4 linked regions of the Struthio camelus genome follow. The protein of the gene in region 2 purifies or fractionates together with the protein of the main gene of each other region. This does not show direct contact. Links are inferred from orthologs where the notes say so. Each region holds a gene or a part of one and is shown on either strand. Other genes may lie near its edges.

What was found.
Region 1: the proteins of BCL7A (region 2) and SMARCD2 purify together in Homo sapiens (affinity purification with mass spectrometry; 5 studies listed by BioGRID and IntAct, counting the BioPlex papers as one, with this or other methods). This does not show direct contact. The link is inferred for Struthio camelus from reciprocal best matches to the Homo sapiens genes BCL7A and SMARCD2.
Region 3: the proteins of BCL7A (region 2) and SMARCD1 purify together in Homo sapiens (affinity purification with mass spectrometry; 5 studies listed by BioGRID and IntAct, counting the BioPlex papers as one, with this or other methods). This does not show direct contact. The link is inferred for Struthio camelus from reciprocal best matches to the Homo sapiens genes BCL7A and SMARCD1.
Region 4: the proteins of BCL7A (region 2) and SMARCC2 purify together in Homo sapiens (affinity purification with mass spectrometry; 4 studies listed by BioGRID and IntAct, counting the BioPlex papers as one, with this or other methods). This does not show direct contact. The link is inferred for Struthio camelus from reciprocal best matches to the Homo sapiens genes BCL7A and SMARCC2.

What each region holds. Positions count from the first base shown.
Region 1 is NC_090966.1:2,793,495-2,801,176, reverse strand, and holds the start of SMARCD2 (SWI/SNF-related matrix-associated actin-dependent regulator of chromatin subfamily D member 2), read left to right. Parts: upstream 1-4,413; 5' UTR 4,414-4,428; coding exon 4,429-4,602; intron 4,603-7,682. Other genes in the region: zinc finger protein GLI4-like, read right to left, coding at 1-381, 466-696, 1,573-1,647, 2,091-2,133. UniProt on the Homo sapiens protein: Involved in transcriptional activation and repression of select genes by chromatin remodeling (alteration of DNA-nucleosome topology).
Region 2 is NC_090958.1:17,699,056-17,706,443, forward strand, and holds the start of BCL7A (B-cell CLL/lymphoma 7 protein family member A), read left to right. Parts: upstream 1-4,138; 5' UTR 4,139-4,310; coding exon 4,311-4,402; intron 4,403-7,388.
Region 3 is NC_090969.1:1,483,751-1,491,305, reverse strand, and holds the start of SMARCD1 (SWI/SNF-related matrix-associated actin-dependent regulator of chromatin subfamily D member 1), read left to right. Parts: upstream 1-4,513; 5' UTR 4,514-4,528; coding exon 4,529-4,696; intron 4,697-4,855; coding exon 4,856-5,043; intron 5,044-5,900; coding exon 5,901-5,943; intron 5,944-6,050; coding exon 6,051-6,173; intron 6,174-6,482; coding exon 6,483-6,605; intron 6,606-6,748; coding exon 6,749-6,865; intron 6,866-7,194; coding exon 7,195-7,296; intron 7,297-7,393; coding exon 7,394-7,555. UniProt on the Homo sapiens protein: Involved in transcriptional activation and repression of select genes by chromatin remodeling (alteration of DNA-nucleosome topology).
Region 4 is NC_090969.1:554,871-562,253, reverse strand, and holds the start of SMARCC2 (SWI/SNF complex subunit SMARCC2), read right to left. Parts: upstream 3,236-7,383; 5' UTR 3,174-3,235; coding exon 3,063-3,173; intron 2,865-3,062; coding exon 2,745-2,864; intron 1,368-2,744; coding exon 1,282-1,367; intron 922-1,281; coding exon 840-921; intron 755-839; coding exon 662-754; intron 576-661; coding exon 506-575; intron 271-505; coding exon 201-270; intron 54-200; coding exon 1-53. Other genes in the region: RNF41 (E3 ubiquitin-protein ligase NRDP1), read right to left, coding at 7,217-7,383. UniProt on the Homo sapiens protein: Involved in transcriptional activation and repression of select genes by chromatin remodeling (alteration of DNA-nucleosome topology).

The sequences.
Region 1 (7,682 bases), on a different chromosome or scaffold from region 2:
ACGAGGCAGAGAGCTCTTCGCTTTCAGGGCAGCAGCGAGGTCTCTCCGTTAGCCCCCTGCCAGCTTTTGGGGGGGCGTCGCACTGCCCACCGCAGCCCTCCTTGCAGCCGGCCCCCCAGCCTCGGCCCTGCTCCTCTGGCCAGCGTTTTGGAGGGGTTGGGACGTCTCTGGCCTTCCCGAGGGCTCCCGCCCGAGCCGGTTTGCCATGGGGGGCTGCCGGAGGGCTCTCGGGTGCCTCTTCAGGGCCCTGCTGGGCTGCCAGGGCTGGGTGCTGCTCTGAGCCTCTGGGCATCCCTGAAAACATGCCCCAGGCACCCGTCGGCTCCACGCCGCCGTCCTGAGGAGGCGCTTCTTCCTTCACTTTCTGAGTCCTGCTGCCTGCTGCAACAGAGAGAAACGCATGTCTTGCGGGGAAGAAGGGCAGAGCAGAAACCTGCAGCACGTCCCTGCTCTGCCACCCTGTACCTCCGCTGCCAAGGCTCTTCACGGGCCTGCGGCACCACTGGACTCTCCCTTCTTGCTTCTGCTCCTTCACCAGCTCCCGTAGCATTTTCTCCACCTGGCTCTGGCCGATGGTTTGCATGATGGCCATGAGCTGCTTCCGGAAATCGGGCAGCAACAGCCCCTGGCTCCAGGGGGTCGTTGCCAGACCCTGCGGCGGCTCCAGCTGCCCCCGGGGTGGCTCCATGTCAACATCTGCAAAGCAAAGGAGGTGTTGGTGATGGACAACTGCATATATCTTATGACAAGTATATTCCCACAAGGAAATCTTTACAGTTCACTGGAATAAGCTTCCCGTTATTTGCTAGCATAAAATATGGCTGGGGTGTCCTAACTAAACTGTATCAGTAGGCAGATTCTTCTACCAGAAGTCAATGTCCAAAAATTTAAAGCTATAAGTAAAGTATTGACCAGATTGAATAACAGCTATACAGTTTTCTGCAGTCAGAAGTGGAATGCAGGGATTTTAGTCCCTCTTTATATCATTCTTTACACCAGTTTTGGGGGCAAGAATACAGCTTATGAAGCTGCGGAAGTTAAAGAAACAGTTGCTTTTTTGTTCGGTGAATTCTAAACATCCACTTTAATGTCCACCTTTCAGATCGAATAAATTAATCAACCTCTGCTGTAGACATTGTTCAAAACCAAGCTGGCAACATTTTTTTTTTGGTCCTTTGCAGACAAGCTTTCTTTTAAAGCGAAAATCTGGCCTTTCTGTAGCCATTATTAGTTTTCTACTCATTTATTTATTATAAAATTAAGGAGAGTTATTATAAAATTAAAGGGCTTTCTGCCAGCCCAGCATGCATCTCCAGGCAGGAGGCACAAGGTGTATGGCACCAGGGTGGGAGCATGGAAAACACAAGGAATCAGGGAAGGGGAAATTACAGGCAGGGTGAAGAAGGGTCCCTGGGAGCCCCATGCTTGTGGCTGTGAACCCTCTGCTGCCCCAGACCCACCCTAGCGCATGCAGCAGGGGACGTCCTGCTCCCAGAGCGGCCCGAAAAGGACCTTCTAGCAGATGGGCTAATAACTGAGGCCGTGGCTTTTTCCTCCTGGTCGACAACTTACAGCACAGCAAGCTTAGGCGCCTGGGGGGCTCTGCAAAGGCACATATTCGTGGCCAGCTCATGGCGATCTCTTCCGCTGGCAGAAAGCAGCACAAATTAGACAGAAACAGTTATGAAACAGTTGCAAAGACTTCTCCTCCTGACCCCCATGAACGGAAGCGGAAAACCAAAGGCAAAATCTCTGCGGGGGCCAGCAATACAACGCAAGGTCAGACTGCTGCCACCGAATGGAGCAGCACAAAAAGCCCTTCTTGATAGGCAGCGCCAGCCCAGGATGAACACTGGGTCCCAGCAGGATGGAGCAGTCCCCCTGATCGCTACGAGCACAGACAATGAATTTGGGCTACCACTGCACCCGTGACAGCGAGGGCTGGTGGACATGCTCCCCGCCTTTTGGCGCAGGCGGCCCTGCAGGAGGCGGGTGTCACGGTGGCCACAGCTGGATTTATAGCCTGCAGAAAGTCCCCAGTGACCATCACTGCTGCGGTCCAGGAGCACGGAGGCACGGGAGAGCCTTACCCAGGGAGATCACTGACTCATAGCTGTCCTGCACCACGTTCATGGGGCCACGCGGGGCCGAGGGGCCACTCGGGGCCTCTGACACCTGCAAGCGGAGCAGCCGCTGTTCACATCAGCTTATCCCAGCGCATCCTTCTCCATTGCTCGCCCTACACCAACTTCATCCCTCGCCCCGTGCCGGCTCCCTGCAGCCCTCTTCACCCCACAGCAGCTCCATCCCTCGCCCCAAACCAGTTCCCAGCTCCATCCCTCGTCCCATGCCGGCTCCCGGCTCCATCCCTTGCCCCACGCTGGCTCCCAGCTCCATCCCTTGCCCCACGACAGCTCCCAGCTCCATCCCTCACCCCAAACCGGCTCCCAGCTCCATCCCTTGCCCCACACCGTTGCCATCTCTTGTCCCACACAAGCTCCCTGCAGCCCTCTTCATCCCCCACCGGCTCCCACCTCCATCGCTCGCCCCACGCTGGCTCCCAGCTCCATCCCTCGCCCCAAACCAGTTCCCAGCTCCATCCCTCGCCCCAAACCGGCTCCCAGCTCCATCCCTCGCCCCACGCTGGCTCCCACCTCCATCCCTCACCCCACGCTGGCTCCCACCTCCATCCCTCGCCCCACACCGGCTCCCACCTCCATCCCTCGCCCCACACCGTTGCCATCTCTTGCCCCACACCAGCTCCCTGCAGCCTTCTTCACCCCACACCGGCTCCCACCTCCATCGCTCGCCCCACGCCGGCCCCTGCCCCACGGCCCGCCACGGCCGGCACGGCAGGGGCCGGCTCGCAGCGAGACGAGCCGCGGGCAAAGGCCGGACCCCGCGGCCGCCGCAGCCCCGGCCCCGGCCCCTTCCCCCGCCGGAGCCGCAACGCGCTGGGGCCGAGGAGCCGCCGCTCCGCGCCTGGCCCCGACGCTGCCGCTGCGGTACCTGGCGGAGCTGCCCTGGGCGCCGCTCTGCCCGCCCGGGCACCGGCACCGGCACCGGCACCGGCACCGCCGCGGCGCTGGCCCAAGAAACGCTGCCGCCTGCCGCCGGGCGGAGCGAGCGGCCGGGCGCGGCGCCGCGCCGGCGCCCCCTAGCGGCCGCGCCGCCCCCGCCGCCCGGCGGAAGCCCGGCGTGACCCCGCCGGGGGCGTCCGGGGGGCGCCGAGGCCGCCGGCTCCCCGGGCACGCCCGCGCCGGCCCGCTGCCCGCGCAGCCGCTCCGCACAGAGAAAGCGCGCAGACACAGCGATGCGCACGCACTTTCATGCCCCCAGGCCGGCACGTGCAGATGGACATGCCTTCACGCGCACATGCTTGCACGCGCCCACACACACGCCTGCGCGTGCAAACGCACAGGCCTTCACACCGACAAACCTGCACACACGCGCGCCTGCACGTGCGCGCACCTTCCCATGCCACCACGGTTGGCCTCAAACCCACACTGCCACAACGCACGCACCTTCACACCCCCAGGCCTGAACACCCAAACAGGCATGCCTTCAGCTCCCACACGCCTGCCTGAGGAAACGCATGCACCTCCATGTGCCTGCGCACGTACACACACCTGCACGTGGAAACACACAGGCCTTCACACACATGTGCGCACACCTGCACGCCCAGGTGCATGGGCAGCACGCACGCACACACGCACAGGCATACGTATGCACACACACAAACACAGGCACACACATGGGCACGTGCACATATGTGTGCACACAGACACACGTGCACACACAAAACATGCATATGTACACATATACACACACACATATGCACACATAATGTACATACACATGTGCACACACATGTACAAATGCATATATGCATGGCTATACATATGTGCATGCACACACACGCACACACACATGCACACGTGCACACACATGTGCACACACATATGTACACAGGCACATACATATGGACACAGAGAGACACACAGGCGCATGCATACAACTCACACACACACACAAACACACATATGCGCACATGTGTACATGTGTGCACATATGCGCACGCGCACATACATATGCACATGCATATGTGCGCGCGCGCGCGCACGCACACGCACACGCACACACACGCACGCACACACGCACACACACACACACACACACACACACACACACACACACACACACACACACACACACACACACACACACACAGGCGCGCGGGGGCGGGGGCGCGCCGCGGCCACGTGCGCCGCCGGCGGGGAGGCGGGGGGCGGAGCGGCGCGGACGGGGGCGGGGCCCGGCGAGGGGGCGGGGCCCGGCGGCGCCGCGCGGTGACTCCCGACCCTGGGCGCCGCCGACTGCCGCCGCTTCCGAGTAAACAGCGCGGGCGGGGGGCCGCCAGCCGCCGCCATGGCCGGCCGCGGCGCCTTCCCGCTCAGCCCGCTGCCCCCCCCCGCCGCCGCTGCCGCCCCGCCGCCCCCGGGGCCCGCGCCCGGAATCCTGCGCGGCCCCAGCCCGGCCCCGGCCGGCGCCGCCGCCGCCCCGGGCTACCGCCCCATGGGGCCGGCCGCCGCGCAGTACCAGGTGAGGCCTCGGCCCCTCGCGTGGCGGAGCCGCGGAGGCAGCGCGGGCGCGGGCCGCCACACCGCGCCGCGGGGCTCCCAGGACACGGGTGGTGGGCGCTGGCGCGGCTCCCCTCGAGGCGGGTCCTCAGGCGCGGGTGCGTGCTGGCGGGGCCGCGCTCGGGACGTGGTGCCGTGGGGCTCGCTGGGCACGGGTGGGTGCTGGTCCCCACTCGGGACATGGCCCTGTACCGGGCACGGGTGGATGTTGGCACGTCCCCACTGGACGTCGCACGGCTCCCTGGGTGGGTGCTGACTTGGCCCCACTGGGGATAGACTCCTTGGGCAGTAGTGGGTGCTGGCCAGGCCCCACTGGGGACAGTTTCCCAGGCACCTGTGGGTGCTAGCCCAGCCCCACTCAGGACAAGGTGTCTTGGGGCCACCCTGTTCCTCGCAGCATCTCCGTTTCGGCCCCTTGTTGCTGGGCACAGGCACCAGGGAGGCCGGATCCGGGTCCTCTTCCCCTTTCTGGGGGCTCCAGCGGCCCCGGTGCCGAGGTCCTGCTCGTCGGTGGGTGCAGCTGGGGAGCTGTTTCCCTGCCCGCTGCTGGGACCAGCTCACGAGAAGCCTGGTCCTGCCCAAAGCTGGGAGAAGACGGATATCCCTGCCCAGGACATACCTAGGTGCCGTTTACCATCCGTCCCGCTCCTCTCGTGGGACCCAGGGTCTATGCTAAAATTCTCTGTCTTGAATTTGGCCAAAGTCCCTTTGTGATTTCCCCATGAGGGCTTGGTACCCCCCGAAGGGGCCGTGGGGAGAGGCCGGAGGGCAAACTTTCGCTTGAAAGCGTGGCCTGGCCTGCGCTCGTGGGGATTCGATGGCTTTGTTTGGCGGTGGTGTCTGGAGAGGTCCATCGGGCAGCTCCGAGGGTGCCGTGTTAGCAGCTCGGTAGAGGCAGGAAGAATATCCTTTTTTTTATTTTTTTTTAATTTTTTTCTTGTCTTTTGGGGAATGTGTGTGTGGGGGACAAATGAAACATGCTGCAGGAATGTACTTGAATCCAACCATGCTCTTATATGTTCCAGATCCCCTCTGCTTTCCCAGTGGAGAATCGCTCGGGGATTGAATGTGCTTTTTAGCAGCTTCTCAGCTGCACCGTCCCTTGCGGGGGCGCTTTTGACCAGGGGAAAGGAGTAAGTTGGCAAAGTGGCTGCTCTGCATATGGCCTTGGCAGTTAGGACGGAGGAAATGTGACCAGCACACTAGGGCTGCGTTTCCTGATTTTTTTTTTTTAATGTTTTTTTTTTTTTTGAGGCCCTTTAAATAAATGTAGTTATGAGCAAATGCCCAGTGAGGGGTCGATGTCTTTTGCTGTTACAGATGAGGTAACTGAGGCACAATAAGACCCGTGTTTTCGAATAGTAATCATTTTGGAAAGAAATGAAGGCAGCTGCTTCCAAACCTATCTCCGTGAGTTTCCAGAAAATGCTCTGAGATTTTCATCTCCTAGCACAACTCTGCTGCTCCAGCAGGAGCAACTCTGTTGCTTTTCAGCAGGTAGTAGATCTCCCTGCGCTCACTAGAGTGGGCCCAGCTCCTTTAGAATGGTTGCATGCTCCATCTTTCCTTATTCTTCATGGTTTCTAACTGCTTAAAAATCCCCATAAAAGTTGCTAGCAGCTGAATATTTGGCAGCATTGCTGTGCAAATCTTGTCTGTTGTAGCAGCAGAGTGATAGTTCGGGTCTGCTGTAAACACCCAGCAGGAGCCAAGGTGCGTAACTCTATCTGCGCTGCGGTGAGACTCAGGGACCGCTGGCTGTTCATCTGCTGGGCTGAGAAGAAACAATTTTGGAGCAGAGGAGGTACAAGCCACTCCAAGCAGAAGTCATATGTCCAACTCCAGCTTCACAGCCATTTCTTGTTGCGCAGAGCTCCCTTGAAACATGTTTATATGCACCTTTTGCAAATTTAGGGGTAACCATAACCAAGTAGCAGGTGCATATTTGCAAGAGGAAGCTGAAGAGACAAGGAGGTGATGGAAGAGGAGAGCAGGTGCTTGTTAATTTGAGGGGGAAAAATGGAGACATGCAAGTGCCTTGAAGGTAGATCTGACCAGTGAGCAGCCCTGGAGAAGCCAGAGCCAGTGTAATTGTTCTACTTTCTGCCTGAATATGTTTTATGAAGAGTATATTTTAACTGATACTCAAGTTTCCGCTTCTCACTGCATGCGCGGCTTGTCTGTGAGCTGGCTCTTGTGCACATGGTGATTATTTTGAAGAGGCTAGGCTTCTGATTTAAAGCGATTTCTTCCAGATGCTCTTTGGAAATGGAGGAGCCCAGTTGTGCAACAGATTCTCAATCTCTACTGATCACCACCTCCAGAGCTGCCACATTATTTGCATGAATGAAAACTTAAGAAAAAAAAAATCAAACCAAGGGAGCTTCCAACTTGTAAACTTCATTAATACAAAATGAGGAAACAACCTGAGTAGCCTTAAAACACGGAAGAGCCCTGAAGTGAAAATTGAGACGGCATATTCAAGGCCAATCTGAGCATTAACCAACGGTTGCAATTGTAACTTGATTCAAAGGATTCTCGGGCTGGGAGAGATCTTGCTCATTTACCCTGACCGTCCATGCAGTAGGTTGCAAAACCCAGCCCGGGTGCCTGGCTCGAGCAGCCGGGAGTCACTCATCGCTCTCATTTCGTGTAAATAGGCTAACATATGCTTTCCTGCCATCCGCGCCGGCCATAACACCGCGATCAAAGCAGGTGTTCGGAGCGTATGGCTGGCATAGGGTGAGGCACTGAGCATATGTCGTTGAACTGCAGTATTTGGTAAACAGGAGTCGCAGGAAGGCAGGACACAGCTAGGTCTATGGAGTTGTTTGAGTCTGCGATGGCAGCGAGTGTCGGGAATGGTGTCTGGCTGGCAATCTGTGCGCGGAGCTGCCGTGGAGTGGGAGGGGTGAGCGGGTATAATCAATACGATCTGTTCTTTTTTTTGCAATTTTCAGGCTGTGAAAAGCAGCCCCTTCCTCTCTGCGAGTGGTCACCCCTGCTGTACCCGCAGAACTTCTCTAGGGGGTAGTGACTCAG
Region 2 (7,388 bases):
AGTACTTGTATTGTCTTGCTCCTATTGTCAGAACAAGGAGCATTTGGTGCAGCTGAGCATTAAAATAGGTGAAGAGAAAAGTTGTTTCATTCAGTCCATCAACTAGTAAAACTCCTTGCCACAAAGATGCTTGGAAACCAAGGATTCAACCGGTATGAGAAAGGGTAGCTATTTCTATGGCTGGTGTGAACACCCATAAATAGATACGTTAGACACGCTAGAACAATTTCATAACAGATCTATAACCTTATGCTTCAGGGCATGAGCAACCGTTAACTGGGAACAACTGCTGCATTCAGGTTATTCCGGGATACTATATTAAAGACTTTCCCACACCTTCCTCTTCCTCCTCTGAGTGATGAACTGGCTACTGCCACGGACACTGGGCTACCTGGACTGTGGGCTGTCCTGTGCCAGGGGCTCTTCAGTGGAAATAGAAGCACAAGCCCTTGCAAGTGCAACCTAACCTAAAAAGCCGTCTGCAACGGCTCCAGTTGGAGCAACGGCTCCAATTTCTCCCTTTGATAAATATGTTTGGCCAAAACGCACAGTATACATGAACAATTTTCCCTCGGATCAACGCTTTCCTGTGTTGGGATCATGCATTTCCATTGGTGATGTGGTCTGCATCTCACAGAAACCAAATCCTCCTTCATACTACCCTATTCTGTTTGTACACTGTTCTTGTTAGAGCTATCTGCTAGTTTTTGTGTTAATGATACCATAACCCAAGAGACTGGTTTCGCTTTATTGTACAGGAGAGCATATGACAGAAGAAGAGCTGGCAGCATGTCTGACTACCTTGCTGGGCATGAATCCAGAGGGAGGAATAACTAAACCGGGCACCTCCGATACCTCAGGTACACAGGATTATCGTTCTACGCAACACAGAAGTAGAATTGCTTCGGTTCCCCAACAGAGTAATTTAAATTGCAAACCTATTACCCTGTTAGGCCAAGAGCTGTCAAAAATATGCCGACAGGACTGCAAAAATAGCCATAGAGCTATAGATTGTCCTTGATACATGCAACCATTGCATGGGTGTATATAAAAATAAATGAGCAATGAGATGTACCTGGGACCTGACAAGATTACATTGGTGTTTATCTGCTGGCTTGGAACTGAAATTAGAAGCACACAGTGGAAGGTTTACATGCCAAAGTCCACAGGCAAAAGGGAATCCTAGAATATGCAAATTATAGTGTTGATTTCATCCAGGCAGTAATGCCCATTATAACGGAACTGTTGATAACTACCACATTTGTATACAATATATGTCCCAGTCTACACCAGTCTAGAATAGCAAATTATAGTGTTGATTTCATCCAAGTAGCATTGCCCATTTTAATTGGAACTGCTGCAAAGTACCACATTTTTATACAGTTCATGTCCCAGTCCACGCCAGTCCGGAACAGCATCCGGTCAGGGCTGTCAGCCCACGGACCTGTGGGCTTCGAAGGTACCTCTTCTGAAGGGAACTGTCTAGCGCTGTAAACCAACTTTGAAATCCCTGGATTCCGTAAGATCCTAGAACCAAGTGAAATCAGCGGAGTGTAAAAGTTCCATTTGTTCTCGTGACTTTTCTGAGATAGGTATTTACTGCAGGATGAGGCTGTCAGCCTCACAGATTTGACAGCTTGTCCCCTTATAAGGCATAAGTATAAGGGCATAAAGTATTAAGCTAAGCCAATCCTTTTTCACGATCGCTTCAGACATCTTCAAAACATTCCATCCACTTAACTGCTGCTTATAAACCTTACTCTGTGGAAACCCATTTTTATGTTGCTGTTGTCTGTTTTGTGTTGTTGGTGTTGTTGTTACTGCTCTCCAGGTGCAGCAGCTTTACTGGAAGAAGAAATTCCAGATGAAATCACAGCAGAGATATTCACTGCTGACATTCTTGGCTTACCTATTCCTGAACCAGAAAAAAACAGAACAGAAAAAAGAGATGAATCTTGGATCCACGAAGGCTCGGAAGCATAGCTGCTACAAAGTTTTCTACTCGTTCCTACTTTGCAATCTCCTCTCCTCAAGTATCTGTGAAATTTGTATTTTGCATTTATGAAAAAATAAAGGCAATATAATTTCAGACTGAACAAACACTTGTCTAACCCCTGGTTTAGCGCAGGCCACAAACCTGTGGGATCAAATCTATTTCCCAAATCAAGCACGGTCCTAGTATTCCACCTTCTGTACTGCTACTGTGGAAAGTTTGGATTTGGAGATCATCAGTGGAAGTATTTCTGCCATTCAGGCATGGCCAACACTCCTAATACCCTTTCGCAGGGAAGTTAATAAACAGTGGTTTAAATGAACATGGTGCCGTCCTGAAGTGATCTTCTGGGAGAGCAGCATGAAGACTCCGCTGTAAAAACATCTATCTTGTAGTCCAGTGAGCCATTAGAGAACATCACTATGTACAGAATCGCAGGGGTGGTTGCAAAGAATAAAAGAGTAGTCGGTGCATTATCTTCTTGCATTGATCATCCCTGTTCTTGGCTAGAATCTTCCCAGAATTCATTTTAGGGTGGGTTTGTGCCAGATGAAGCTGTTCTGATGCAGTCTATTTTCATCATGCTGAGGCGATGTTTATTTGTAAAACCTGACAGTCAAATAGCGACGTAAAAGTATTATATGGATTGTCTACATTGATAAATGTAATGTACAAAATGCCTGAATACATCAGAACGGATTGGTAATTATACAAATAAATCCATCAGTAATCCATCCTTCAGCCCTCAGTAAAGAAAGGAACAGTGAGATGCAAATTAAAACCAGGTTTCTATTTTGGTCTTTACAACTTGTGTTTTTCTTTCTGAAAGTAGTAGTTCCAATTAGTAGTGTAATACCAATGGGACAGCATTTTACAGTGTTTGTATAAACAGTGTAATGAAGCTGATATAAGTTGCTGTAGAAAGATCAGTGAAGAGCTGTTGAACGCGCTTCCTTCTTTACATCTTCCTCAGCATCAATTTGAATAATAATGTAGGCCCTTAAGAAGCGTTCCTTTCAGTGGCAATGTTTATTAAATCGAGACTGCTGTTACCTACCGTAGAATATCTGGGGCTGTTCAGTTAGCACAAACAGCAAGACGTTACAACTAGGTACAAGTTAATAAAGAAGTCCAGTAGCACAGTGACCAGGGTATGTGAGGTTAGAGAGTTTCTGCAGAGCATGACTTCGCAGGTAGCTCTCTCTGCCCGTTTACTTCTATGCGCAAACACTCCCGTGTATCTGTGCTGGCTCAGATCCTCACCCCCTTTACATCGCCCTAATTCCATGGAAGCTTTTGGAAGCACTTTAGGCAGCTGAGAAGCCTTACAGACTCTGCAAAAAAAATCTGCATTTTGTGGATTTATTAAACGTGCTGTTTAACAAAGCAGATGTTTTGCTTAACAGGAAGCATTGCCAGTCACCGCGCTCGAGGTCTGCAAAACGGTGTCACAACCACTTGCACAAGGGCTGGACGCAGTTGTCACTCGGATATCCCCCTCGCGCCTCGCGGGGTGGCTACGCTCCAGCATCCGGTGTGCTAAGAACAAAGTTTGAGGCCAAGCGGGCTGAATTCCCCCCCCACACACACACCCCGTAGACTGAGCACCCCGGGGATCTTCCTCTCAGCGCAGGCACCCAGGCCGCGCGGAGAGGCGACCCCTGCCCTTGGTGGGGCGCGCGGGCCGCGCCAGGGCGACGCCGAGCCCCCATGCGCCGAGGGGGGCCGGCGGCAGCCCCGCGCCCCAGCCCGGCTCCCCCTTGGCCCGGTTTGTCCCCGCGGCCTCGCTGTGGGGACGTGACGCCCTCAGCGTCGGGGACACCCGCGCGACCCAGGCGTCCGGGCCTCTCTCCTTTCCCCCCCCCTCCCCAATATCCCTCGCCACCAACAAAGGGCCCAGGAGTCCGGCTCCTCCTTATCCCTCCGGCCGGGCTCCCCCCGCCCCGCGCCCCTCGCCACCAACAAAGGGCCCAGGCGTCCGGCCCGCCGCCGGCGCGCGCTGCCCTGGCGGCGCCTCTGCCGCGCGCGCGCCGCCCCCTTCCTCCCCCCCCCCCCGCCCCGCCTCGGCCCCGCGCGCGCGGGCTCCTGCTGCTGCTGCCGGCGGCGGCGGCGGCGCGGGGCGCGTGCGCAGTGCGCGGGCCCCGGCGGGCGGGCGGAGCCGAGCGGAGCCGAGCGGAGCGGAGCCGAGCGCAGGGAGCATTGTGCGGGCGGGCGGACGGACGGACGGACGGGAGCCGCGAGCCGAGCCGAGCCGAGCACCGCGGCCGCCGCCCCCTCCCTCCCCTTCCCCCTTCCCCCCTCCCCCCCTCCCAGCAGCATGTCGGGCCGGTCGGTGCGGGCCGAGACCCGGAGCCGGGCGAAGGATGATATCAAGCGGGTGATGGCGGCCATCGAGAAAGTGCGCAAATGGTGAGCGGGCCGCGCCGCGCCGGGACCCCGCGCCCGCCCCCTCCGGCCCCCCGCGCCCTGCCCGCAGCCCGCCGGCGGCCGCGGGGGGCGGGGGAGCCGCCGGCACCCAGAAGCCATTTCGCTCCGGCGAGTCACATGAAGGCGGCGGCGGCGGCGGCGTGTGAGGGCCGGAGGCGGCTCCATTGTGCGGCCGAGCCCCCTCGCCGCCGCCCGGCCCGCTGCCCCGCGGCTCCCGGCCCCGGAGAGCGGGGAAAGGACGGCGGTGGTGGCGGCTCCTCCCGCCGCCGCCCTCCCCTGAGCGGGGGCCCGGGGCGAGCTGGGCGCCCGGCGGCTTCGCGTGGAGCTGCCGCTTGGAGAAGTGTTTGGGGCGGGGGGGGGGGAAGCGTTAAAAATGGCACTGAACAACTCCAAGAGTTGTTTTGTTTCCCCCCCCCCCCAAAAAAAAAAAAAGTCCCGTCCCCCCAGGTTCGCACCCACGCGGGGCCGTCGGGCCGTGAATCCCGAGCGGAGCGGGAGCGGGGGAGGGCGCGACTGCTGCTCGGATTGGCTCCAAGTTGTGCACTTGGAGGTTGTACCCCCGGCGAAAGCGTTCCCTTTTGTTGGGCCTGGAAAGTGCTTTGGCCTTTTTTTTTTTTTTTTTGAAACACGCTTTTTGCCTTTTTTTTTTTTTCTGCTTTTCCTGTCAAAATCAACACGAGGCGTTGGAACAATACAGCGGAACACAGTTATGGCAGTGTTGGGCGCAGTCAGTCTAGTGTTTTGGGATGGGATGAGGAGCCGTGCCGGTGTGAGCCCAGACTGGATCTTTCTTCCAAAAAGTAGACTGCTCAGTAGTCTTTGTGCATGCATCTTAAAATCTTCCTGTAAACGTGTGAAATCCACAGCAAGTCTCTTCCTATGCGTAGCTGTTTTGAACCTGATAAAATAAGGGGGCACTTTTCTTGTAATCCACAGCTAAATACTTTGATTTCATTAAAAAAAAAAAAAAAGAAGAAGAAGAAGCAGAAATTAAATGTGTGTGTTATCCTGGCAAAATGGGTTGTTGCCTTTTAAATGGCCTTGAGCACATGAATGGGCCAGTTGGCTTGAGCTGGACAAAGAATCAAAATGTGTGTCCCGTAATGCAGGGCACGAGATGGGGATTTCGGAGAATCCCTCCATTGTGCAGGGAGCGAAGCAGTCGGAGGATTACAGCTCTGCTGATTTCAGGAACTCTCTTCTTCTCTGGTGATGTTTTCAAGTGTTGTTTTTTGACTCTTTGGCCAGCTAGGAAGGCTCAAAACTATATAGCGATGTGGCAGTACTTTTTAATCAGAGTAGTATTGTTGGATGTGTGGGACTATTTTATTTGTAGATATCTCATTCATGAGTGTAGTGCGTTTCCTTTGAATCCCAGTTGGTGGATTTCAGAGAGGAGTAGAGGCAGGAGCTTGGCCATTCAAGAAAATGTCTTTTTTTTTTTTTTTTTCCTCTTGGCAAGGGCTTTCTGCCATCATGTCAGTTGCTATGGCTTCCCCTATAAAACAGGAATCTTAGGGTATAAATAGATTTTGTACATTTTAACCCTCCTGAGAGAGAGCTTGTTTGAAAAGGTTACTGTACAGAATCATGCGAAGTGTTTCTTCTGATTACGGTCAGAAGTATTCATATGGCTTTTTGCGTGTGCATCTCGCAAGTATTTACACAAACCATTTTTCATATTTTTAAAAGAATTAATAATTTGCTGGTATAGCTCATGGTTATTTTTCCCCCTGTTCACTTGCAGTCAAGTACATTGAAAATTAGCAAGAGAGATTCTATGTTTTGTGGTTCAGATGTTTTGAGAAGACTTGTGAAACTGAACTTTATACGCTAGCAATTCCTATATCTTACGAAGAGCCACATAGGCAATTTTCAGTGTGCAGTTTCATTTGCATAATAGGAGCAATTTGTTGCCATCCACAGCTTTTCTGTGGAAATGCAGCCACTGAGGATTAAAAAACCTTGCATACGGTGTTTCATAGAACAGAATTTTCTGAGACTTGTACATGTCGCATTTCCGCACTGAAGACAGAAGCGGGGCAGACTGTATTGCAAACCTCTCTGAACTGACAGCGGCCCTGGTGCGTGCTGGCCAGCACTCCCATCAGTAGGTGAAGGTGTGCAGCAGCAACTCTCCTTGTTGTAGAGTGTTACTGTGTGCCTGTATTGCCACGTGTGTGTGCATGCCTATTTGAAGTGAGTTTCCATCAGTACAGAGTTTGTCCCGTAGGAAATATGAATTCTTTCTTAGACAGAAATCCATCCTTTGGTGCAGGCACCTGTCTTCATGCGTGCTTGTATCGTGCCTAGCACTTTTGGTATTACTGGAACTTGACTTATAATAGTAAACGGTGGAGTTATTATAGTTTTGTTAATCTCGAGATTAAAACTAATCTCCTTCGTTTAAATCACTCTCATGAATGAGCATTTATTTTAGAAGACACCTAATATGTTTCCTACAAAATACATGGTTGTGTGGCAGAACGCTGTATTTCCATGGCTAAGAGCATAGACCTACTTCTTCTTAATAGCTGTCACGTTTCTTCCAGTCTATTAAACAGTCATCTGAGTTAAATTTAACTTAATGAATTATAAACAATATGGGCTTATCTTTTGTTTTAAAGATTGGCAAGTATATGTAGGTCTTAAACAGGCCCTCAAGCAGAAAGGGGTGAAAACTGTTGCGTTCTCAGCCAGCATTACAAAATAATGGAAATGCTCTTTTTTTATAAAAGATTTATTAAATGCTAGAAAATGCAGAGAGTTTTACTGGTGAGAACACATAGTGGGCAGTATACAAGTGTAAGTAGTTGGGTGTCTAAGGAGGCAGTGAAATGATTTGCGTGGGTAACTAGGATTTCTGAACTTTCGGACAGCCGTGCAAACATTAAGGATGGAGGCACGGTGTGGCTGACTGGGACAAGTGTCCTGATCTAGGGAATGCACCAGGAATGAGGAAATCTTA
Region 3 (7,555 bases), on a different chromosome or scaffold from region 2:
AGAAGGAAGGGCTGGGGGAAAGGATAAAGCTGTAGTCTGGACTTGCATGAAGTCTTCAAACGCGTGCTTTGCTGTGCTAATGTGGCAATTGTTCTTGGTACCTAAGCGAGCTCCAGTGTCGCTGCCTGGTCCTGCTCTGCCACGTGAGGACACGTCAGGGCTGGAGGATGGGAACTGATTTTTGCTCCCAAGGGGGGACGAGAATTAACATACGCACAGCTGCTAATCCTTGACAACTCTAACACTTTTGTGGTTTGGGACAGACACCTGAGTTTCAGCAGAAATGAGTCACTGGCTTGGATCTCACCTGCTTTTAATTTAACAGAGTTAGTAGCAGTTGTAGCACAAGCCATATGTAAACACAGTTTCTGTCCTAAAGATTTCCAGCTGCAGAGAGCAAAAGTAACATGCCAGATCCAACACTGTGCATCAGAAAAAGCCCTCAGGACCCCACACAGACTGAATAACAGTGAGTGGGCAGGGAATACTGAAATGCCAAACTCCCTCTGGTCACTTGGCTCTGGTCATGCCCCTGTTGCTCCTGGAAATGGCAGCCGGGTGTTTTGCATTTAAACTAGAACTGACTTACTGCTACTCTGGTCCTTCTCTGCCAGAGCCGGTGCTGCATAGGCTACAGGGTGGGCTTTGAATAGGAACAAGATAATATAGCTAACTGCCAGAAGGGAGTTAATGAACCTAAATTAATTGCAACCAGCCACTGAGTAGCCAGGGCAGCTGACCACGCGTGCTCCCTCCGCAGTGGCATTCACAGCAGCTCCTGTTGCAGGGGGCAGGCAGCAGCCCTGGTGCTGAGGGCTGTAATCTCTTTCGCAGCTCCCCATTAACCCTGCTGGGAGCAGGTCACCCCCTCCATCTGTCACAGCCTCACATTGCGCAGGAACATCCCCAGCCTCAGCACGGCTGGCAGAGCCGTTTCTGCCGCTGCGCTCGAAATGGTGTCTGTGCTGCAAGGCACAGCCTGGACCCAAAGGTGGCACAGCCAAGACAGTTCCCATCCCAGAAGCTGGGCGCGGGAGCACGTTGGGAGTACCGCAGGTAGCCAGACAGCACACAAATGTGAGCAGCCCTGTTACGAAGTGCACAGGTTGTATGTTTCCATATTCAAGGCTCCATTGCGCAAGCGAGCTGTGCACCTTCAGAGCATGCCGGGGCAGTGTCCGCTGGCCAGGGAGCCTTGAGGGGGGCTGTGGTGCACGGATGGGTGCACTGCGTGAGGCTGGCAGCCTGCAAGGTGCGTAGCAAAGGCAGCATGCGTGTTCATCCACGTCTGTCACTCAATATTATTGCACGAGATTCATGCTGCGCGCAAGACAGTTAATTACACGTCGCAGGAAGCATCTCTGATGATCTACGTGAGGATGAGATGTGACACACCTAGGCCTGAGACGCTGGGAAGCACCTGCTTGCACACTGCTGTGTTTACCTCGCAGATCGTGTGGCTGCTGAAACCCTACAGAGCAAGGATTAATCATGCAGGATGCATAAAACCATGGCAGAGATAGCATCACCTCCTTTCCTCCCTGGCAGTAATTCCCGCTTACCACTTGCTCAGTGCTAAAGCTGCCAGCAGAAACAGGCGCTGAGATATAATTACACAGTCCTGGATGCTGCTTGGCTGCCTGGAGCCAGAGCCATACGGGTTGGGGAGGAAGGTTTCAGAGTAGCTGCCTTGCGCCAGCAGGTGCAGTAAAACCAAGGTGCACGGGGTAGCATCACACAAACCATCTCCACTGGGAGGAGTGAACCAACCAAACCCTCAGGGCACAGGCAAGGGGGAAGGTGTTTCTTAGGGGATACAGCTAATAACAGGGGACAGAGAGCTGGGGTTGCTCCCAGCTCAGCTCAAGCAACACCGGGGCTCTCAAGACCCTGCAGCTCCCTGTGCCAAACTGAGCAGCTATCTGACTCCCATTTCCCTCTCTCCACTTCTCAGGTTAGCCCTTGCTTTCTGCTGCTTTCACAGCTCCTCACTCTGTCTCTCCCAGGAGAGCCAGGCAGTTCCAGCCTGCCCAAAAGGCTCCTGCCATCCTGCCAGGCTTTAAGTCTCAGTCAAAGTTGCATCCAAACAATACGGAGCAGATAAGTTCCGCTGCTTTTCCTCCCCATGAATATTTCATAAGGCAGCTGGGCGCCAAGCCTGTCAGAGGTGGCATTAAATTAACTGCATGGACACACGGATGCTGAGACAACAGTTAATAGGCTGTGCTCAAAGCACTGAGGGTAGGAAATACCGTATCTGGCAGAGAAGGTACCAACACATCCCCACTTCTTTGCTCAGTTGACAATGCCATGCACTGTACAGGACATCCTCCTAAATGATCCATGATCATTAATTGTTTAATTAGTGCTTGTGATGTGACTGTTCACCTAGGTTTTTTTCCCCCACAAATTAACGTTGGCTGCATTTATGTCCCTTTTCTCTCTGAGCAACCACAAGGGGAAGCGCTCTAGGGAATAGGGAGCTTAATGCTAATACTTGCAGAAAGTGGCCTTTAAATCTAACATTGTGCTGCCTGTAGCAGCCCAAGCCGCTGCTGAGGGAGATCGGAGCCCTTTACCTGGCTGTTCAGCCTAAACCTGAACAAACAAGGCCCCGGCTACCTGATCAGTGGCAGAACCCACAGTGAAACCTGGTGGTCTATACTCACGAGTCCCCCTCTTTATCCAGTCACCACCGAGGTTCAAACCCTACGTACTGGGAGGAGGTTTCTGCCTCCAGCCTTTGAAAAATCACTTTCAGAAATCCCATTCTGAACATCCTCCAAGTCCCTCCATTAACTCACACTTATCCATATGCAAAGAGTAATTTGGCATGACCTTGTGAGGAGCTATTTCGGATAACTTTGTACCTCTGTGGAGTATTATCACCATCTAGACGAAGTCTTTCAGCTACAACATACTGACGCAGACATATATATTCACACCGATATAAAAGCACATCCATTTATGCCCCCACATGCTTACTTCTTAAGATGTTAAGGACAGCAGCTCCAGTGAGAGGCGTTACCGCCACTTTGGCATCTCAGAGTCCTCCTTTCCGGGGCGCAGGCAAGGCAACCTTCCTCGGGGCACACCCCAGGGCAAGAGAGGCTGCAGGACCAGACCAGCATCTCCTGCAACAGGTAGATATTGTAAGAGCCAACGCTACCGTCAAAAGCCAGCCAAGCACAAGACTCATACCCCAACCCCCTTCAGCCCCAGAGCAGCTCCGGCTCTAGCAGCTCCTGCACAGTAGCCCTGAGGGCTGCAGGGGAAACCAGCCCAGCTGGAAGAGGGCAGAGGAGATCAGAGCAAGGTGTGCTGCCAGCTGAGGCAGGTAGACGAGCTCAGGGGCTGCCAGCCTAAGGGCTTAGGGAGCTGGAAAGTGTCTTACAGGTGGTTTTCTATGGATATCAGAGCCCCTGGCACACAGAGCTGCCTCTCCCACCCCAGACACCCCTCCGTGACAGTACAGATGGTGACAAAGGGGGATGACATACAGCAAACTGTGAGCTGGAGGGACGTAAAGGGAATAAAGAAAATAAAAGAAACATAGATCTCTAGGCCCCCTCCAAGGACACTGCTCCCCATGGCCCCTGCACCCCCTCCACAACGCCCCATGGACACCCCTAGGCCTCTGCACCCCCCATAGCCTCCCAATGGACCCTGCACCCTTCCCCCCACAGCACCCCATGGACCCTGCACCCTGATGGACCCGTCATAGTCCCTGCTCCCTCCTACAGCCCCCTAGACCCTGCACCTCCCACAGCCCCACATGGACACCCCATGGCACCTGCACCTCCCTATGGCCTTCCATGGACCCCCCCATCCCCCACCAACCCTTCCCAGATGCTGCACCCCTCCCCAAAGACCCACACAGCCCTCCCCAATAGCCCCCTCATGGACTCTGCACCCCCAACAGCCCCTCCACTGCCCTCCCATGGCCCCAGCACCCTTCTTCCCAGCCCCTGCATCCCCCCATGGACCCCCCCATGGACTCTGCACCCCTCACAGCCCCCCACTGCCCCCCATGGCCCCAGTACCCTCCTCCCCTGCCCTGCATCCCCCCATGGATTCTGCACCCCCTCACAGCCCCCCACCGCCCCCTCCATGGCCCAAGAACCCTTCTCCCCAGCCCCTGCATCCCCCCATGGACTCTGCACCCCTGAGAGCCCCCCCATGGCCCCAGCACCCTTCTCCCCAGCCCCTGCATCCCCCCATGGTCCCCCCCCATGGCCCCAGCACCCTCCTCCCCAGCCCCTGCATCCCCCCATGGACCCCCCATGGAGTCTGCACCCCTCACAGCCCCCCAACGCCCCCCCGTGGCCCCAGCACCCTTCCCCCCAGCCCCTGCATCCCCCCATGGAGCCCCTATAGACTCCCCCTCCTCCGCCCGGCCCGGCAGCGCGGACCTCCAGGCGGCAGGGGGCGGGCGGCAGCGGGCGGCGACGCTCTAGCTCGACGCCCCGCGCGGGCTCTCTATGGCCGGCGTCCGGTTCCGGCCCGCTCCCCTTTGTGCTGGGAGAAGATGGCGGCGCGGGCGGGCTTCCAGGCGGTGACTCCCAGCGGCGGAGGCGGCGGGGCCGCCGCCGGGGCCGCCGCCCTGGGGCCGGGCACGCCGGGTGGGCCGGTGCGCATGGGCCCGGCTCCGGGACAAGGCCTGTACCGTTCGCCGCTGCCGGGAGCCGCCTACCCGGTGAGGCGGGGGAGGGGCCGGCGGCGGCGGCCGCCGTTATCCGGGGCGGCCCGGGCGGGGCGGGGCGGGGATGGGCCGGGCCGGGCCGGGCCGGGCCGGGCACTGCCCCCACCCCGAGCCGCCCGGCGGGCACTGGAACCGGTCTCTTTCTCTCCGCAGCGCCCCGGGATGCTCCCGGGTAGCCGGTTGACGCCGCAAGGTCCCTCCATGGGGCCGCCGGGCTACGGCGGGAGCCCGGCGGTGCGGCCCGGTATGGCGCAGGCCGGCCTGGACCAGGCCCGCAAGAGGCCGGCGCCGCAGCAGCTCCAGCAGGTGCAGCCGCAAGCCGTGCCCAACCGCAACCACAAGTAAGGAGCGGCACCCCCGGCCACCGGGGCACCCCCGGCCACCGGGACGCCTTCCCTCCCTTAAAGCCCCCCCGCTCCCCCCCGGGGTGCAGGCTTTTGCCGGTGACGCCCCCCTCTTCTGCCGTGCCCCGGGATCTGGGGACATCCCGGTCACGGCTCTGCGGGGGCTGCTCCCGGCAGCACAATGCGTTTCTGTTCTGCGGCGGGTCTGGGGCGCGCTGCCTTCGTGCCGTGCCTGGGCTTTTCACTGCCGCTTTTTGTTGGGCGGCTCAAAGGGACTTGAGCTTCCTTGGGCAGCTACTTGTTGGGGAGAGGGGAGCTTCCAGCCGATAAAAGCGTTAATGTGCAGCTGCTAGACAAGGGCAAGCTTGTTACGTTTCTGGCAGTATAATGGCAGCCTTAGCATCATTGTTAACTCATTTCTTGGTTTAAAGCATGTCAAACTGAAGCTAAATTAGGCTTGAGAGTCACTTTGGCCCGATATTATGTCAGCATGCCCCTTTCAACATGATGTAACCCCACTTCCCGAGCTCTCGGAGGGGACGCGAAGCATTCAGGTAACTGGTTAGTCACGGTGCTGCAGCGTTTGTCAGCTCTGCAGCACTGGCTGCCTCGTGGGGCAGGGGCTGTGGGGAGTAAAGAGCCTGCCTGCGTGTGGGGACTGGAAGCAGTAAGTGCCTCTGAAAATGAGAGGCTGGACTGACGGCTGGCACCCAGGCTAAGAGCACTGCTAATGCTGCAGCACTAAACCAGAGAATAACCCGTCATCCTCACGCCCTTCACGAATGCCTGCAGTTACATAGGACAGAGTGGTTGCCATTTTAATGCATGTGTGTGTGCATCTCCTTCCTTAACAGCGCTAAAAAGAAGAAGATGGCTGACAAAATTCTACCTCAGAGGGTGAGTGGCATGTGCCTTCGCAGCTTCTGTTGAGATGCAGTAGATCGGAGAAGTGTGGGGGAGTTAACGGTGACTTGCATTCTTGATTGGCTTGTGCTCTGCTGTAGATTCGTGAACTTGTACCTGAGTCTCAGGCCTATATGGACTTACTGGCCTTCGAAAGGAAATTGGACCAGACGATCATGCGGAAACGCTTGGATATCCAAGAGGCCTTGAAGCGACCCATTAAGGTAGAGAGGATTATGTTCAATGTTACTGTAAGCAAGGACTGGAGACTCTTACCTTAGTTAAGAGAGCAGGAGTGCACTGAAACTTGGGTCCTGTCGCTGTAAGCACAGTGTATCAGGAACCTTAGTACTCCAGATGCCAACGGAGGAGCAGAGCCAGGAAGGCCTGATGTTCCTCTTTCCTTGCTGCCCGTCCTGGGAGAGGTAGAATATGAAATAGATAAGGATACTGAACCTCTTAGTTTTAGCAAAACATAATATAGTTGATCCTTTATTTCAAAATTAACATTTAGCTGATGCTTTTTCTCTTAGCAAAAGCGAAAGCTACGTATTTTTATCTCCAATACCTTCAACCCAGCCAAGTCAGATGCAGAGGATGGTGAAGGCACAGTTGCCTCCTGGGAGCTTCGGGTAGAAGGAAGGCTGCTGGAAGACGTGAGTGTGAGACACCCAACCCCTTTGGGGAGGGAAAGAGACAAGCATTGATGTCTCCGGTTAAAAGAAGCTAACTGGGGCTCTAGGTCCACCACCGAGTACTGAGATTAGCTCTCCTAACACCCTTCCTGTGTTGCTTGCAGTCTGCTTTGTCCAAATATGATGCCACCAAACAGAAAAGAAAATTCTCATCCTTCTTTAAATCTCTGGTCATTGAACTTGATAAAGACCTGTATGGCCCAGACAATCACCTGGTAGAGGTGAGCTGCTTTTTGCTGCACTATCTCTAAAAGTGGGTTGTTGTTCAGCAGACAGAATTTGCATGTCATTCATGTCTCGAGAGGTAGTGGTGGCTTGAACAAGTGGCTGGGAGCTAGGAGCTGTTGAAGTCTTATCTTAGCTTTTCCATTGACTTGCTGGGGCTCTGAGCAAGTGCATTAACTCTTGCTTCAAACTATATATGGGAATGAGACTAACTCTCTGTAGGTGGGTGGGGGTTACCAGCAAGCATGTTGGGTACCCAGCAGGAGCAAAGGGAACAAAGACTAGGGGTGCCACTGAACGCACTCTCCTGTTCTGTGTCCCCCAGTGGCACAGGACTGCTACAACTCAGGAGACAGATGGTTTCCAGGTGAAGAGGCCGGGAGATGTAAATGTGCGCTGTACTGTCCTCCTGATGCTCGATTACCAGGTAGGCTGTTTGGAACAACATTGCTGGGCCGGTAGTGTTTGCTGAGCCCTGTCTGTCACCGCGTTCCTATCTCGTCTTTCTGTGCTTTTTGTTTCAGCCTCCTCAGTTCAAACTGGATCCCCGCTTGGCTCGTCTCTTGGGGATCCACACTCAGACCCGTCCAGTGATCATCCAGGCATTGTGGCAATATATTAAGACCCACAAGCTCCAGGACCCCCATGAGCGGGAGTATGTCATCTGTGACAAATACCTCCAGCAG
Region 4 (7,383 bases), on a different chromosome or scaffold from region 2:
GCGCATCCTCCACCGAGGCTTCGATCTCACTGGCGGGGATCCAGGTGTCGTAGCTGGGGAGCAGAGGGGCAGGGGTGAGAGTGGTGCCCTGAGGGACGCCTCGCTCACCGGAGGCCAGTGCATGGTGTCAGCCACATCCTGGAGCCCCTCCAGGAGAGCGGGGCTGGGCGCAAGCAGCGGGGTGCCCCGGCCCTGCTCACCTGTCCGGGTAATAGCCCCAGTGCAGGAGGACCTGCTTGTCCCTCTTCATGACCGGCCGGACCCACTCTTCTGGAAGACACAGAGGGAGGGAGCTAACTCAGTGCCAGATGCTGGCAGACTGGGGCATCGAGCACCAACCCCAGGCCGCAGCTTGCACTGCCGTGTCCCTGCTCTGCTGGAAGAACGGCCCTGAGACGCCTCGCTCAGCCCTGTCCCCCCAACCCCAAAACCCCACAGCATTTCTCCGAGAGCGGACGCTCAGCCCGAGCCACTCTCCTTGCAGAGGCTGGCACCAGGCACCCACCTTCCTCCAGGTTGCTAGGGACGGGGCAGACAACGTGGGACGCGTTGTTCTTGTCCTCAGTCACCGTGCCCTGCGAGGGGAGCAGAGGAGGTGGTCAGGCCATGAGGCTGAGCACCAGGATGAGGCCCACCCCCCCCTCCAAGCACTGCCACCTACCTGGTGTCTCTTGACTATGTCTTTCAGTTTGCTCAGGAGCTTGGGCTCGATCTCCTGGTGCAGGAAGATGTTGGGTCGGGCCAGGCAGTTGTTCTGGGGGAGGAAGAGAGCAGAGCAGTGAGCAGGGGCGAGGGAGCGGGGCCAGGGGCAGCGGAGGGCCGGGGGAGGCGCCCGTTACCTGCACCAGAGATTTCTCGATGGTCATGAACATCTCCACATTGCGGTCCATCCGCGAAGGATTCTGGAAATCGAAACGCCGCCTTATTGGAAGAAAAGAGCGACTCTCATGAAAGCCACAGCTCAGGTCTCCTCATCAGCTGTTCAAAGCCTGCCTGGGGGACAGGGAGGGGAGCACCCGAGCCCCGCCGCGGGGCCCTGGCTGAGGCAGGGGGGACTCTGCCCCGCCACCCGCTTGCCAGGGAAGTGGGCACGTTCAATGGGCCCGAGCGCACCCCCAACGTGGTCCCTCGAGGGGGACAAAGGGCTCCGACCCGCTCCCGCTCCCCCAGGCCCAGGACGGAGCAGGACGTGACGCCCTCCCACCCCACCCCTGCGGCCCCCCATCCTCCTGGTCCGCGGCCACCCTCCCCGCGCGGGGGGGCGAAAGGCGGGCGGCTCACCATCCTTGGTCGCTCTTGAACTTATAGGCCGCCGCCAGGATGTGGCACAGGGCTCCTCCCGCCTTGAAATCCAAGAAGCATTTTATCTGCAGCGGGAGCAAAGGAGTCAGGGCAAGGTGGGGGGGGGGGCACGGGAGGGCAGTTAGCTGGGGTTGGGGGGGCGGGGGGGGAGACACGGCGCCATGCCCGCACATCGGGGCACTGTGCCCGCACACTGGGCCGCCGTCCGTGGTGGTCTCGGGGCGCTGTCCGTGGTGGTCTCGGGGCACTGTCCCCAGGTCCGGGGGCGCTGTCCATGGTCAGGCCGTTGTCCTTTGGTCAGGGCGGGGCGCCTTCCCCGGGGGGGGAGGTCACTGGGGCACTGCCCTCCCCCCCCCCACCTTGGAGCAGCGTCCCTAGGACAGGGCGCAGACCGGGGTGCCGGCGGGACACGGCACAGACCGGGGTGCCGGCTGTCAGCAGGGCACAGCGCAGGGGTCACTGGGCTGCTGTCTCCAGGCGCATTTTGGGCGCTGCCCTGGGCCAACAGGATGCAGACCCCCCCCCTGCCTGCTCACGCCCCCCCCCCCCCGGCGTCCCTAGGCCACAGCCCCGGGGTTTCTTTGGGGTGCAAACCATGTCCCCAAGGTGCAGTCCCTGGCCGTCTTCAGGGTGCAAAGCTCGACGGGAGGGTGGGGGAGGGCGCAGAGCCGAGGGATTTTGGGGCACAGTTGTCGTGTTTTGGGAGTGCAGTGACTGGTGTCTCTGGGGTCGGGTCCTCGGGGGTCTCTGGGGCCTGGTGCCTGGGTTGGGGGGGAGAGGTGTCTCTGGGGTCCAGCCCCTCAGGAGGGGGGGGTGAGGGGGGAATCTCTAGGGTCCATTCCCCGGGAAGGAGATATTTGGGGCCTGGTCCTCCAGGTGGTGGAAGGTCTCTGGGGCTCAATCCCTGGGAGTGGTTGGTGGGGAGGTCTCTGGGGCCTGGTTCCCGGGGGGGGCGGTCTCTGGGGGTTTGGGGAGGGGTCTTTGGGGCCTGGTCCCTGGAGGGGGGGAGATGTCCCTGGGGTTTGGGGAGGGGTCTTTGGGGCCTGGTCCCTGGAGGGGGGGAGATGTCCCTGGGGTTTGGGGAGGGGTCTTTGGGGCCTGGTCCCTGGAGGGGGGGAGATGTCCCTGGGGTTTGGGGAGGGGTCTTTGGGGCCTGGTCCCTGGAGGGGGGGAGATGTCCCTGGGTTTGAGGAGGGGTCTTTGGGGCCTGGTCCCCGGAGGGGGGAGATGTCCCTGGGGTTTGGGGAGGGGGTCTCTGGGGCCTGGTCCCCGGAGGGGGGAGATGTCCCTGGGGTTTGGGGAGGGGTCTCTGGGGCCTGGTCCCCAGAGGAGGTAGATGTCCCTGGGGTTTGGGGAGGGGTCTCTGGGGCCCGGTCCGCCGGGTGGGGGGGGATGTCTCTGGGGCCCGATCCCCCGGGTTTGGGGGGGGGGGGGGGTCTCACCGGCAGCTTGGTGAGGGGCGCGTTGCTGACGTGCTTGCCGAACACCTCCTCCTGGAACTGCAGCAGCTGCACCACCAGGCTCGACAGCGACTTGTTGGTGGGGGGCTCGGCCTGGATGTACTGCACCGGGGTGGGGGGGGGGGGGGCGTGAGCAGGCCGGGCCTGATGTACCCCCCCCCGGGGGTGGGGGGGGTCCCCCTCCTCGGCTGCCCGCCCGCCGCCGCCGCTGACAGCCCCGAGGGAGGCCGGGCGGGGGAGGCCGCGGCGGGGCCGTGACAGGCCGGGGGGGCCGGCGGCGGCGGGGGGGGGCGGCCCTACCTTCTTGTAGTTCTTGCTGAGCCAGAGGCGGACGTTGTCGAACTGGCTGACGGTGTCCGAGGCCTCGTAGTACTTGACGTTGGGGCCGCCGTCCTTCTTCCGCACCGCCATCTTCCAGCGGGCCGGGCCGCGCCGCGCCGCGCCGCCGCCGCCGCCGCCGCCGTCACCGCCTCCCTCCTCCCTCCCCCCCACCCCGCCGCGACCGGCCGCCACCGCCCCCTGCTGGCGGCGGGGGGGGCGCGACCGCCCCCTGGCGGCCTGGGGGAGCCGATGGCGGTACCGCCCCCTGGCGGTGGAGGAGTCGAGGTGGTACCGCCCCCTGGCGGTGGGAGGAGTCGAGGTGGTACCGCCCCCTGGCGGTGGGAGGAGTCGAGGTGGTACCGCCCCCTGGCGGTGGGAGGAGCCGATGATGGTACCGCCCCCTGGTGGTGGGAGGAGCCTCGGCTGGTACCGCCCCCTGGCGGTGGGAGGAGTCGAGGTGGTACCGCCCCCTGGCGGTGGGAGGAGTCGTGGCGGTACCGCCCCCTGGCGGCCTGGGGGAGCCGATGGCGGTACCGCCCCCTGGCGGTGGAGGAGTCGAGGTGGTACCGCCCCCTGGCGGTGGGAGGAGTCGAGGTGGTACCGCCCCCTGGCGGTGGGAGGAGTCGAGGTGGTACCGCCCCCTGGCGGTGGAGGAGTCGTGGTGGTACCGCCCCCTGGCGGTGGGAGGAGTCGAGGTGGTACCGCCCCCTGGTGGTGGGAGGAGTCGAGGTGGTACCGCCCCCTGGTGGTGGGAGGAGCCGATGGCGGTACCGCCCCCTGGCGGTGGAGGAGTCGAGGTGGTACCGCCCCCTGGCGGTGGGAGGAGTCGAGGTGGTACCGCCCCCTGGCGGTGGGAGGAGCCCCGGCCGTTACCGCCCCCTGGCGGTGGGAGGAGCCCCGGCCGTTACCGCCCCCTGGCGGCCCGGGGCGGGATGGGGGGGGGGTCGGGTGGCCCCGCGGAGCGGCCGGGGCGAGAGGAGCCGGGGGCGGCCGGTGTTGGAGGCTCCCGGTCCGCGCCGCCCCCGCCGCCCCGGGCCGAGCGGGGCCGAGCGGGTCGGGCCGGGCCGGGGCGGAGCGGCGGCGGCGGCCGTCTAGGCGGAGCGCGGCGCAGGGCAGGCGCGGCAGTCACGGTGGCCGAGTGGTTAAGGCGTTGGACTCGAAATCCAATGGGGTTTCCCCGCACAGGTTCGAATCCTGTCCGTGACGCGACGGTTGTTTTTGTGGGGGCCACCCGGGCCCGGCCCGAAAAAGGGGCTGGTGCAGCTGGGGGGTCTCGGGGGGGGGGATGCTGTCAAAACCCCCCCCTCCCCCCCGGTACCCGCTTTTTATTTTTGAAGATGGGGAGGGGCAGCTCGTGCTGCATGGATGAGGCACAACCCCTCTTGGGGTGGGGGGAGCCCTTGCTGGGGGGGGGCACAACACCTTTTGGGGCGGCTGCAGAGCTGTTTATGGGGGGGCTGCTCCTGCTTGGGGGGCAGGCCCCCCCCCATGCCCCGGGGGGGGTCCCAAATCCTCAGACACCCCCGGGGGAGCAGAGCCCCGTCTCAGGGGTGCTGCCCCCCCCCCACCCCGGCGAAGGCCCGGGGAGCGGTCGCGGAGGGAGGACGCGGAGCCGGGGCAGCCGCCCACAGCGTCCCCGCGGCGGAGAGAAGCGCCCGGAGCGACGACAGGCTGCAGCATCCGGGAACGGCGGTTTATGTCGCGCAGGCGACACAAAAGAACCAGCGGGCGCACAGGCAGCGGCCGTCGCGGCTCCGCGCGTGCAGTTTTCCTGTTGGATTTAGCAGCTTTGTCACATTCCTGAGCACAAGGGACCGGGCTGGAGGACCCCCCCCCCCCGCCACTGGCCCCTCCAAACAGGGCGTCATCTAGACACCGAAACAAGTACAAACCACCTCGGACAACAGATTCCCACGCCAGAAAACATTCCTGCTGCGTTAAAAATACAGGATACAAACCCACAGTGACAGCAGGCCCTAGAGCCGCCGCGGAAGAGCCAGAAACGCCCCGCAAGAGCTGGCTGGAGCCGTGCAGGAGAGGGAAAGGGCCGGGAGGGAGGCAGAGCCCGGCAGCAGCGGGGACGCCTCGCAGCGGAGCAAAAGCCAAGCTGGGCGCTCGCGGTGGGCGACACTGAGCACGCGAAAGCCCACAAGGAAAAGGGGGAGAGCGAGGCCGCGCGCGGGGCTAGCGGGAGCGATCGTGCATCTGGCTCCCCGGCGTCGGGCACAGCAGGGCCAGGGAGAGAAGCTGGATGTGGGGAAATCTTCTTTCCCACAGCCATAGCAGCCTCCTCTCCCCTCTGTATCCCTCCGGGTGCCCTCTGCCTGCTCCGGCCCCTTCGAAGCATTGCTGCCGGGAAGGCCCCTTGGCGCAGAGCGGGATGCATGCAGGGAAAAGGGACCTGGGGCCGCTGCAGGAGAGCTACCCGAGCTCCGAGGCTGGCGTGCGCCCACGCGTCCTCCCTGGGAGAGCGCCGACTCCGCTCGCTCCCAGCGAAAAACACAGCTGCTGCAGGGGCAACAGAGAAGGGGAAAGGGAACTCTCTTGAACCAAAATACACGGGTGCTCTCCTGGCTTCTTCCTCCCGGTGAGCAGGGACAGCTGGAGCTCCCAGGAGGAGCAGAGACGCCCGATCCCGGCAGTGAGGATGTTGTCCGAGCCCCATGTAAAGCAATCAGAACGCTGTTTATTGATTATTTAAATCCCTGCCTCACAGTAGCCCACACGGGCACAGGAGTGAGCTGATGAAACCGTATCTGAGCAACACAGACACAGGAGGAGAAAAAGTACTGTAAAAAACAACAAAACAAATGCAAATAAATTAAATTCCCAACAAGTAAACGTAACCAGGTTCTGAGGTGCCTGTCCATGGTACTTCAAAAATAAAATAAGGGGGGGGTATACAAACAAGAGAGGCCAAAAAAGTACAAAAAATACAGAACCACAATCACAAGTGTCTGAAAAGTAACAACAGTAACAGTACAGAAAGCTCTTCGCGAACACTCAATGCACACAGGACAGACAGGACCGTTTCTCTAGGGCTAAGGACAACGCGTGGAGGCAACTTTAAATGGCACAAGATGCCTGGGCGGCCACGAGCCATTCGCTCGGGCAGGAGCATCTGCACGACGAGCCTGGGAGAGCCCGGGCTCTCCTGTCCGGAGAGCAGAGGGAGCCGGGGCCGGGCCGGCAGCGCAGGGCACGCACGGAGCGACGGCAGCAGGAGGGCGGCACGGCCAGAGCAGTTCTGAAGGGACGGTGGCATCCAGGGGCCGGGGAGCCCATCTGAAAGGCTGGTTCCTCCAACGCAGAGTCTCTCCCGCACGGGGGAAGGCCCCAGCCCTCCACCAGCGCTGGAGGCTCGTTCTCTCAGCAGCTCAGCTGCCTTGGCTCCAGCTGCCTTTAGGTTTCCGAGAGTTGCTTTGGGGCACTACTCACAGCTCTGTTCGTGGACTTGCTCCTGGGCTGCCTCTCCCCACCCCATGCCCCCTCCCCAGCCCAGCACAAGAGGCTGGGGAGCAAATCCTGCTGTTAAGGTACTGTGTGGTCAGTCAGGCATGGAAGGAGGCAAGACTTGAAGAAAGAGCAACAGAGAAACCTTTTAAGAGTGAGGCAGGAGGAATCCAGAGAGGGAGATAAAGCCCAAGAAGGATTTAGCCACTGGACAAACAAGAGAGACACCAGTGGCCATGGGGCCGGTCCACAACGAGATCAACTTATCCTTTCAGTTTGGGTTGCACAAAGAGCCAGGGCTTTGGTGGAGGCAGTAGCATCCAAAACGCAGGCTGGGTCTGAAGAGTCTGGCGGTATTCAGTGGAGCAGTTGTGCTTTCTCTCCCTCTCCCCCCTTGGAAAGACATTGCATGTAGAAGCTGATCTGCAAGGGGCAAACACGGATGGGCTGCACTGTGTGTTCACTGCTGGGCCAAGTGTTTTAAGTAGTATTTACCAGAGGCATTTAATCATTTCAGCTAGGAAGCAAGAGGCTCAAGGGGATAAGGCTCTAACAAAACCACACAGGCGGCTAGGGAACACCAGTGGTTTTGACCAGCTACTCCCCCAGTCCCTTCTGCCTCTTCACCTTCTCCTTCCTCTCCCCTTGTCAGCACGAAGCGTTTCTTGCTTTGAAAGTCCTTATATTTCCTCCACTCCGTGTGCAAATATCATCACCAGTCCTGGCTCTAGCACCATGTCCTCACCCATGTGCTGGTTTTCACAGGCCATCACCACCACGGCCTGCTTGCCAGGGATGCGCTTGGCCACATAGTTCTCGTAATACCGCCGGTTCATCTGGCGGGTTT